Linked DNA regions of Drosophila melanogaster. The protein of the gene in region 1 interacts with the protein of each later gene in a pairwise test. Each region holds a gene or a part of one and is shown on either strand. Other genes may lie near its edges.

The links.
Region 2: the proteins of Zasp52 (region 1) and Zasp66 interact in a two-hybrid assay, tested with the Drosophila melanogaster proteins (one study listed by BioGRID).

The regions. Positions count from the first base shown.
Region 1 is NT_033778.4:15,811,679-15,816,497, forward strand, and holds the start of Zasp52 (Z band alternatively spliced PDZ-motif protein 52), read right to left. Parts: upstream 3,240-4,819; 5' UTR 3,051-3,239; intron 1-3,050. UniProt on the Drosophila melanogaster protein: Regulator of cell matrix adhesion having two related functions, one upstream of Actn organizing the Z line and the other downstream of integrins regulating assembly of integrin adhesion sites.
Region 2 is NT_037436.4:8,622,626-8,627,666, forward strand, and holds the start of Zasp66 (Z band alternatively spliced PDZ-motif protein 66), read left to right. Parts: upstream 1-1,745; 5' UTR 1,746-1,857; coding exon 1,858-2,058; intron 2,059-3,583; exon of another isoform or gene 3,584-3,768; coding exon of another isoform or gene 3,769-3,885; intron 3,886-4,335; coding exon 4,336-4,484; intron 4,485-4,801; coding exon 4,802-5,041. Other genes in the region: GAPsec (GTPase activating protein, SECIS-dependent read-through), read right to left, coding at 1-309, 452-924, 983-1,062, 1,130-1,149.

The DNA.
Region 1 (4,819 bases):
GCAATTAATTCTCGATCTCGATGCCGAAAAAGAGATGCACGTAAATGCTGTTGTGATTTATGAGCGCGCGCCGCACGAGATTTTATAATTTGTTCAGCGCAACGTGCATGGCCAAAATAAATATTTTCCCTTCGTTAAATTCATAAACAAAACTCTGGAATGGATGGGATGGAATGGCATGGGTATGAGATGCCATGCGGGTTTCCCCACTAAAACCCTATCCCAAAGTGCCGACTCAATCGCAATCTCTCGATGGGTTTCTGTGGCTTTTGCCGCGGCGATGAAACCAAAAATTGTTTGCCAGTCACGTTTGTGGTGCAGAAAGAGCAGTGGCAGCAGTGGTACCCATTACCCATTTAGCAAAAAGTAAAAAAAAGGGGTATGGGGGGGAGGGTTCAGACAATTCGAGTTGCGTTGAGTCTGCACTTCTTCGTCGAAGATTTCGCGTCTGTGGGCGTTTATTTTCAACGCACTGCGGTTATGTAATTGCGAGGCGTCGGATACGTGATTACTTTTAGTCAAATTGCCGCTCGAATATTGTGTAATTCCGCTCGACTCCGCTCGCCTCCTCCACTTGCGATTTCATATCTGTGCGAAAGTGTGCCATCGCAGTTGTTGGCCAGGCGAAAGTGATTAACTTGTTGGCAGAAGTTAAGGTCAGGGTTGCACACCTCACAAGTGCTTTTTAAGTGGGAGCAATAACAGAGCACTATAACTTAGTAAATCGATAAGGAGAGCTAATAGTATCAGTCTGTATAGCAATAAATGTATTTATTTATGCTATATATTGGGAAGTAAACATTTGAAGAAATTGTTTCTTTGCTGAGATGATATCATTGGCTGAAATAGCACACCTTCTTTCCTATAGCCAAGCACTGCATTTAAAAATTCATTATAGAAGTTCTTTTAAAAGCCATATAGCATATAGCATATGAGATTCAAGATCAGAAGGTCGAAAGGGGTCATATCTCAATCTACTCCTACAACCATTCCCAGGCAAGAACCTTCCATTAACGTATGTTTAAATATTCTTGAATCATTATCATCGGTCGGGTTTTGCGTTGTTTCGCCACCTTTTTTTTTTTTTTTTTTTTTGTTCTTTTGCTCTGAGTGACATACGAACCCTGAAGAATAAACAAAGATACAAAGATACGAGAGAAGTGCTTGTCTCAGCAAAAGGAAAGAGAATGCAATCTACCATGACAGTTCACGAAGGTTAAATTCTTGAGAAATGATTTGGTGGCAATCGTAGAGACCGCAGAGAATTTGCAAAAAGCAAAAGCGGCCAATGAGAGAGCGAACTAATTAAAATATACGCAAAGCTGTTTGAAATTTGTAGAGCATGTCTCCCCTTTTTTGCCCCATCGCTCAGTCCCCCGCGATGGTTGCAATATGTGCACGAATCCGAGTCAAGTGAAGCCAAGCCATGAAATATTGTCACGCACCCAGGAACGGAATGGGATAGGATAGGAATAGGATGTGCACGAGAAGTGCCATTCTAATGAGCTCAGCTACATTTCCACGACGGCCTTAATTTACGATTCCCGGCCGAGAAGGAATTTGCTAGTATTTTTCAGCAGTGAGAAAAAATTTAGATACAATTCTGTTTACTAAAAGAACTCGACTTAAATAATTAAACGAACAGTCAGCTCTTTGTTTTCGGTGTATTTTCTAGTGCACCCATCATCCTCTGCGTAATTAATTCCGCCCTGGACTGATAAACCCCAGTGTAAACAAAGACATTTCATTCATCGAAAAAGTGGTCAGTGGCAATGGCTATTAGCTCATTCAAGTTTATAGAACCACTATCTTATCGGGCATTGATTCACGGATGTTGTGAGGCGTTGTAAGATTGATTCGGTCGAAGTGGCGATTGCTTTACAGCTATTATTGGTGAGGTGACCAAACATTAGTTTAATCGCTAGATAACAAGGTGGGTGATTAATCGATTTCGTCGTTTTGTTGGGGTTCACTGAACCCAGGCTAAAAGAAAGCCAGAAGATAAACGGACACAAGAACAGGGCGAGTATCAACAAGTTTTGGTCATGGCTAAATTACATCACAGGCAGACTGCTGGTGGCCTGGCAGGAATTGGAAATGGCAAATGGAAATGGAGAGCAACCACTGCGTATACGTGATGTCAGCGGCAGTGAGAGTGAGCGAGAGCTGGCGAGGTAGGCAGAGAGAAAAGGAGAGAGCGATTGCTGAAAATCGCTGAAAATAGATCAGGCGAAGAGGAAATCCGAAGAGCAGCCACGAAAATCGCAAACGAAAATTGCCAAGATAACGAAAGACACTTTTCGAGGAGGCGACCTAGAGAGCTGGTCTGGCTTCATTAATATGCGATGCTTTATGCTGTCGCCGATATATAGTCTATATAGCGCTCAAAACGTTTTGAAAATGTCTCAGAATTTGTGGCGCCAAACCGCAGCAATTCGAGCATAGAAAGGAGGCGCAGGAGGTGGTGGCCGCCACATTCGCAGCACTTTCGCAATTTGTGTATCTGTATCTGGCAGATATTGTATCTGGCGGATGGCTGCTGGCGAACGGCGCTGACTGACTGACTGAGCGAGAGTATTCGGAAACAAATCCAATCCGCGCAGCCATTTCGAGGAGCTATAAATAAACTCACCTTGAAAAGTTTCTAAAAATTTTCTCGCTTTTTGACTATATAATTTTATTCAATTTCAACGAGCCGAAGATCTACAACGTATCTGTATCTCTGTATCTGTGCTCTGGCCAACAAATGTGATATATGCGTCAAAAGAAATTCCCTGGATCGGCGTGCCAAGAAAATTATTTACCAATCGCCTATATTATTCGCGCTGAGTCTTCGGTTTCGTAAGGGACTTTACTTGTTGTTAACCTTCACAAAATGCACACAAGTCACTATTTAGTGGACGAATGGTGAGGGAGAGGGGCGGTGACTGTCTCTGATATTGATTCTGATTCATCAGCGATCCTGGCGAATCGATTGCGGCAGGCTATTGTATAACCAGCTGATTTCTACTTAACCGAATGTCTGATTTCACATGCGACCTGGTACTGACCGATTTATTCCGATCGGGTGGCTTTCTGCTGGGATTCGATTAGATTCGATTCGATACGGTTTCGATTTGATTTGATTTTTACTGATTTGGACTTGGATCTCGGTTTCGTATATTCGTGACGTTTGTGGTGCACTGCCAGTTCAGTTCTTGGGCGACGTTAACTAAGCGACGATTTTCTCTCAACTAAAGCAAAAACCGAAACCGAAAATTTTTATGTGCATTTTGTGCCGTTTTCGAATACAAAAATCTTTTCAACCACATCGCTGCCGTCGCAGTCGTCGTCGCTGCCGGCGTCGCTGCTTTTGGGCCGTGCGAGAGGCAGTGGCAGTGGCACAGTCTGGCTATATAGCATCTATATAGACATTGTCGGTTCTCAATTCCCAACCGATACGACGGCAGAGCCGCAAAGCTACAAAACGCCAGACGACGGCGACGGCAACGGCTGCCAATGTCTGTCTGGCTTTTGTGGCCCACTGTTTTGTTGTTGTTCCTGGTGCGGGCTATTCTTTTTGTTATTTGGCTAATTGTTTGTATTTTGTTTTCATAGCCAAGCTTTTAACGGCGCAGCCAGCCAAATGCCCATGTGCAATCAGTCCGTTTCGGGGCTGTAACTTATAGTAATCCTATAATTACATCTAGTTAAATGGGATAAACAATTTGCTGAAGGGCTCAAGTACAATTGCCCAAAAAATAAATCCTTAAGTAGGATAATTTCATTATCTATACTTTAGATATACATAAAGTTTCAATGATCTCATATTATTGTTTCTTGTCATGAATGTACTATGCGTATGAAACGCACATTTGGCACATCTCTTTGAAGTTGAAAGCAAGTGCAGGTGCTGAACTATTTCCCGTGATCTGTTTTCCTCAAAACCACAACAAAGTGTGCAGCTAAATGGGAACAACAACCCCGAATAATCTGGGGAATTTGGGTCACAAAAGATCCTAAGTGCGTGAATCAGCGGTGGTGACTCCATCCGAGCTATGATCCATCCGATCCATTATCCATTTCTCAATAAACAATTAATCATTCCGTCGGGGTCACACATCCCTCATACCCAATGCATGCTTCTTTTAAAGATCGCAGGTCCAAAAACATACTCTCGCTAAAATGAAATTTCCCTAAATTGAATTTCCAGTGCATGAAAAGTGAGCCATAAAGCATTAATATGTTAAAATGTAGCCATAGCGCAAAGCTTACAAAAATAAACGCAAATATGTTTTTGCCAGCGCTGATGTGCTCAATCAAGCAGCGAAATGAAACGAAACGAATTGAATCGAATCGAGGCAAACAATCCACCAATCCACCAAAAAACAAAAAAAAAATGGACAGGAAAACATGGACGACTATGTAGATAAATATGTATAATATAATATAATATTTGGATGTTTTATGCCGCGCGTATTTGTGTCTACATCACATCACATAGCGGGTGGCATAAAAAGCTCAGGCGGGTTAAACAAGAACAGCAAACAAGTAAACAAATAATAATAAACCAACCCGCCACCTAACTATGCCGACAAAAAACATTTCGGCTTTTTAATTAAATCATGTTGAGTGGCAAAAATGATAATAAAGAATCTAGCGCAATTCAATCAAAATCACTAACAAAAAACACTGTTCTTGCGGTTTTTTATTACGCATTTCGGTCAGGCGATTAAGATACGAAATACCGAGATACGGGCGTAATTAAGTTTAAAGACCGCATCTCGGCGATCTTTCGTTTTTATGTTTTAATGACAACGGTGACAACGGTTAGTTACAC
Region 2 (5,041 bases), on another chromosome or scaffold:
CATCATGAACTTGATGCCGCCTTCTGCGTCGTCTAGTGTTTTAATAAAAAAGTCTCTTATCTCGCTCATCAGGGCGGTAAAACAAAAGAAACAATCAGCCTCAGCGTGGGCGCGATATGTGAGGTCAGGATCGGAGGCCATAACATAGTAAATGGGTCCCACGATTTCGTTCATGCCCTGGACATATCCCTGGCCGGGATTTAGTTTGGCATAGATGAACAAAATGCGTTGCACAACTTCCCAGTGAGCCTCTTGGCCCTCCTCCATGGCGGCATAGTTTTCAACGGAGCGTTTTGTAATCAAATTTATCTATATAGAGCACACATATTCATTAGGTTTGGGGCAGTTCCAGATGGGCTTACTTACTTGCTGCTAAAATCCACACGGTATGCATGAATGAAACAACACATTCTGAGCTTATTGTCTAGCACAATTCCGATCTTGAACTCACCTTTGTCATGCCGAGGCCCTTGCGTTCCACATTCGCCGAACTTAGAACGGCGGGAACCACCCGTTCGTGGAGCCTTCGTCCATGCTCTCCTTTGCTGTGGACCACAATCTCGCAGGGATAATCGGTGGGCTGCTGGAAAAAGGATATGTCCGGGCACAAGCGGCGGACATCCTTGTCGATTTGCAGTAGAAACTCGTTATCATTGAAGAACGTGTTCCACGCGCTTTCGGGTCCCTCGCTCAGCGGATGATCTTGCAGGCCAACGCCCCCCGAATCGACTTTGTCCCCATCTCCTCCGTCTACGCTAGCTCTATTGCTCGAGTGTCCGGGGGGCAGGACTAGCTCCTCGATGAACTGTTTATACAGGGCTCGCTTTTGGGCCAAGGTTGTGGTCCAACTACTGCGCCTAGGCCCCAAATAGCCAAGGAGTAGCTTCCAACTGAGTGCTCGAAAACTCTGCACATCGGGCACACCTGTGGAGTGCTCAGACTTCAAATTTTGAACATTTCAAATGCACTCTTAGCTTTCTACCATTAAATGCCAGTTTCCTGAGTTGTTTCAGGTCAATTAAATCCTGTGGCCCCGCCAAAACATCCTCAAATTCCTTGACTCTGCATTTTGGTTAGAGAAAGTCTTTGTTTACGGAGAAGTTTGGATTAGCTTAGAATAACAGCTTACCGCGCCTTGAAAATAGACATGCTGCGGCTTTATGTGGGCGGGGCTATGCTGAGATCTTGCAGTACCCCTATGTGTAATTAATTAAAGCTTTATCTCAGTTTTATGCTGGGTGAAATCTGCAGGTATAAAACACAACAAAACAATGGGCGTTGCCAGATGGTTCGAGCTCTAATCGATTATTCTCTGCGACTATCGATTTTTGAGTGCATTGGGCGGTAAAATTCAAAGTTTTTAACGATTAAATTTTATAAATAAATCGAAATTTTAAATGGTTTACTGTCCTCGTAAAAATGTATGTAATTACCTTCTGTCTTAATTGTATTGTTCTTTTTAATTAATTAATTGAAAAACTGTTTTTAAGCTGGTTGCCAGATCTTGTAAAGCTGAAGGCGCTATTGTTTAAATTGTAAATGAAAATGATTAAATCATGATTATTAGATATTGCTTGTATGTATTTTCTTTGCTCAATCAAATTTACTAACTGAAACATCAATTAATCCATTCATAATTCTCCGCGTCTCACTATTTCACTGGATTTTGAATGAATAATAATATTCTGTTTTCGCTCATTTTCTCTGATTTTTTCTCCGCTTTTATTTGATTTTTCAATTGCCTACTAGTGCACACACACACGCAGTCGCGAGCAGACGCGTTCGAATCGTAGAATTTAGCGCATATTTCTGAATGTGCGGAGCATTTCTTTTGTTTACTCTAGTCGCTGGCCAGCAATGACGACCAGCAGATCATCGGCGTCCGCGTCATTCAGTCGACCGGCTTTCTGGAAGGTGCCCGGTTACGAATTGCCCACGTCCTATCGTCCACAGCCGACCCCAAAACCGCCGCTCGTACCGCTGCCATCGCCCTGCAGGCGGCGCAGCAGCAGCGGACTGAAGAAGCGCGTCCATTTTGCCGATGAGCAAAACGTGGGGGTAAGTCCAAGTGGCCGAGAAAAGTGGAAGCCCCAACCCCTTTCAAATCGCCCGGCTTGTCAATCATCGCGCGTGTGTTCTTTTCTTATTCGTATTCCAATGTATTTGTGGCCCCAATTCACAACAGGCCGACTCAGAAATCAGTTCAATAACATTTCGCCCCTTGCGGCTCGTAAATTTGTCAAGCCAAATCTAATTAATTGGCCACTGCTGCACTTTTCGGTCAAGTAAAATGGCCCAAAAAAGATGGATGGATCTATATTTCCATTGGCATGACTTTTATACCATTCGCAAGACGTTGGGTGAAGAATTTCGAATGATTTACAATCCGCTCAAGGCTGATCTACAGCAAAAGTCACCGTAAAAACATTACACGAATTCCAATTGAAAATGAAATGAAAACAATTCAAGCCGCAAATAGTAAAAACATTTCAAGAGCCAGCCAAAAAGTGCCGAAATCAGAATGTATAAAATTAAAAATGAAATGGCAAGCCATATATTGTGTATATATTCAGCGAAAAGCCAAAAGGCAGGAAAAGATTTTTCCGCTGTAAACAGTAAAATTGTTGCCAAAATCGAGAGGCAGACAGAATGTTTAATACAAACCAACGTCCTTCAACCGTTGACCCGTTCATATTGCGTATACGTCACGTTGGCCGTAGACTTTTCCATTGACTAATGCATTAAAAATCTAATATGATTTGCTTATTTAAATTGGGCAAGAGTGTCGAATTGGTTGTTGCAGTTGTGCTAGTACCGCCTCAGTAACTAAAACTAATTACACTCTCTCTTGGTTGCCTCATCGTTCGGCAAACAAGTCGGAGAGGAATAAAACACTAATAAAATAGTCGAAAATGTCGAGGAAAAACAGATGCCTAGATACTTGATTTTTATGCTTTTTTGCATCAGGCGAGCTAGCTCATCAAAGCATTCGCCTAGATGATGATATGTGGCATTCATCTCTTCAGGGTCAGCGTGCAACTGGATCAAGTGCTGCCCTAAAATGTGGTCAACGAAATGCAGAATGCCACAAATGCAGGGCACACGTCGAATTAAACAATGGGAACAATGTGGGAAAAGGTTTGAGTTTGTGGTGGCTTGCGGATGCTCTTCGCGATTTGGGTATATATAATAATGAAAATAGTAAAGCTTTAAATACATGGCACACATGCAAGCAATCATGTTTATTAACACTGCGTATGCGTAATTTGATATGCAGCCGCTTATCAAGTATACGCCTAATTATCTTGTGGTAATTATGAGCTTTGCCGAGGTAAATGCTCCTGATGCTTTTTGAATCCACGACATCCGCTCTGAGAAATTCAGAGTGCTCTTAGCGGAAACCCCATTTAACGATTAGGATTCGCCAATCGAATTCATGTTTCTCAGCATGTAGTCGCCGTTGCCGGCGGATATAAGTTGTACATGTATGTACATATGTGTATGTAAGAAACAAACTTGTGGCGCAGTGTACTCTGCTGCCGCTGCTGTTGCTGCAAAAAGGAATACGAATTGTATTTTAAAATTAGTACTTGAGCAGCTTTGCGATCGAACAAAACGCTTAACGGATTGCAATCGCGCGCCGCCTGCGGCTCGGCCAGAAAAGGCCAGAAAAAAAAATAAACAATAAAAAATAAATATATATTTTCGGGATAAACCATCGCTGGATCGGATGAGCGTCTGATCTTCCAGTCTATCTTCAACATCAGGATGAGCCCCAAGCTGCATGAGTTTGCGGTGGTGCTACTGCGCGATGGTCAGGCCACGCCCTGGGGCATTCGTTTGGTGGGCGGCAACGATCTGGACACGCCGCTAATTATCACCAGGGTAAATGGGCGTTATATAACCAGAGAGACTGTCGCCTTGTGGTCGCTTGTGGTCCATTCATCAAAATTGAGCCAGAGAAGAAATGCCTGAGGAAAAGCGATTGGCCTTTGTGCCCCGCATGCCGCTTTGTTCTCAGCGCCCAAATAAACAACAACAAATCAAAATAGCGAAACGGGCACAGCAACAATAAACGCTGCAGCGTTGCCAAAATGCGACGCCAGTAAAACTAATTGAGGCGCAACCGAATAGTCGAAGAAAATTTCCACTTTTCCTACCTACCCCCTTTTCACTGAGCTGCGATGTAAACACACACATTTTGGCGATCATAATTCTGTCTGCATCTATTTAGGCACCCATAAATCTGTGTCAAGGTTGCAACCAGCCCGTTGCACCCTATACTATGTGTGTCTAATGACCTTCCCACCTCCTTTTCCACCCCACCCGTTGCAGGTGCAAGTGGGCAGCCCAGCGCATGGCGAACTTCTAAGAGGCGACATCATCTCGAAGATCGGCGAGTACGACGCACGCGACCTGAGTCATGCGGATGCACAGCAGCTGTTCCGCGGCGCTGGCAACGAGATCCGCCTGGTGGTGCACAGGTGAGCCAGGAAATCCGTGTATCTGCATCAAAGATACCAATCAGTTCCGTATGTTTAACATCAATTTCTTCTACGAGTGTCAAGTGTATTGAGTAAAGAGAACACCTTCATTTTAGTTTTCTGTTTTTTAAACAGGGCTTTTATCATCATAAAAGTTAGTTGATTATAGTCATAGTATAAAAAACTTAACTTAAGTTTTACTCCATTGCCAAAAGGAAACCTTCGTCTTGGATCAATTTGCACTAAGAAACGTTAGGAACTGATTTTTCTTTTGTATGGTCTGTGATATGACAAATATTAATAATTCTAAATTGCAGGGACAACAAAATCGCCTACACGCAGGGTGCAACTCAGGAGGCAGGTCCTGGATCTCGGAGCAACTCCACTTTGCCGCCGGTCACTCCGGATCTGATGCCCCACCGCGGTCCGTCGCCCTTTTTGCCCGGACCCAGCCACTTTGAGAGGGCCCTCCAGTTGCCGGTGGACACGTTGCCGCAGACCGTGTTTCCCCAGCTGAACTCATCCGGTGGCTATGAGGTGCCATCGACTGTGTTCTC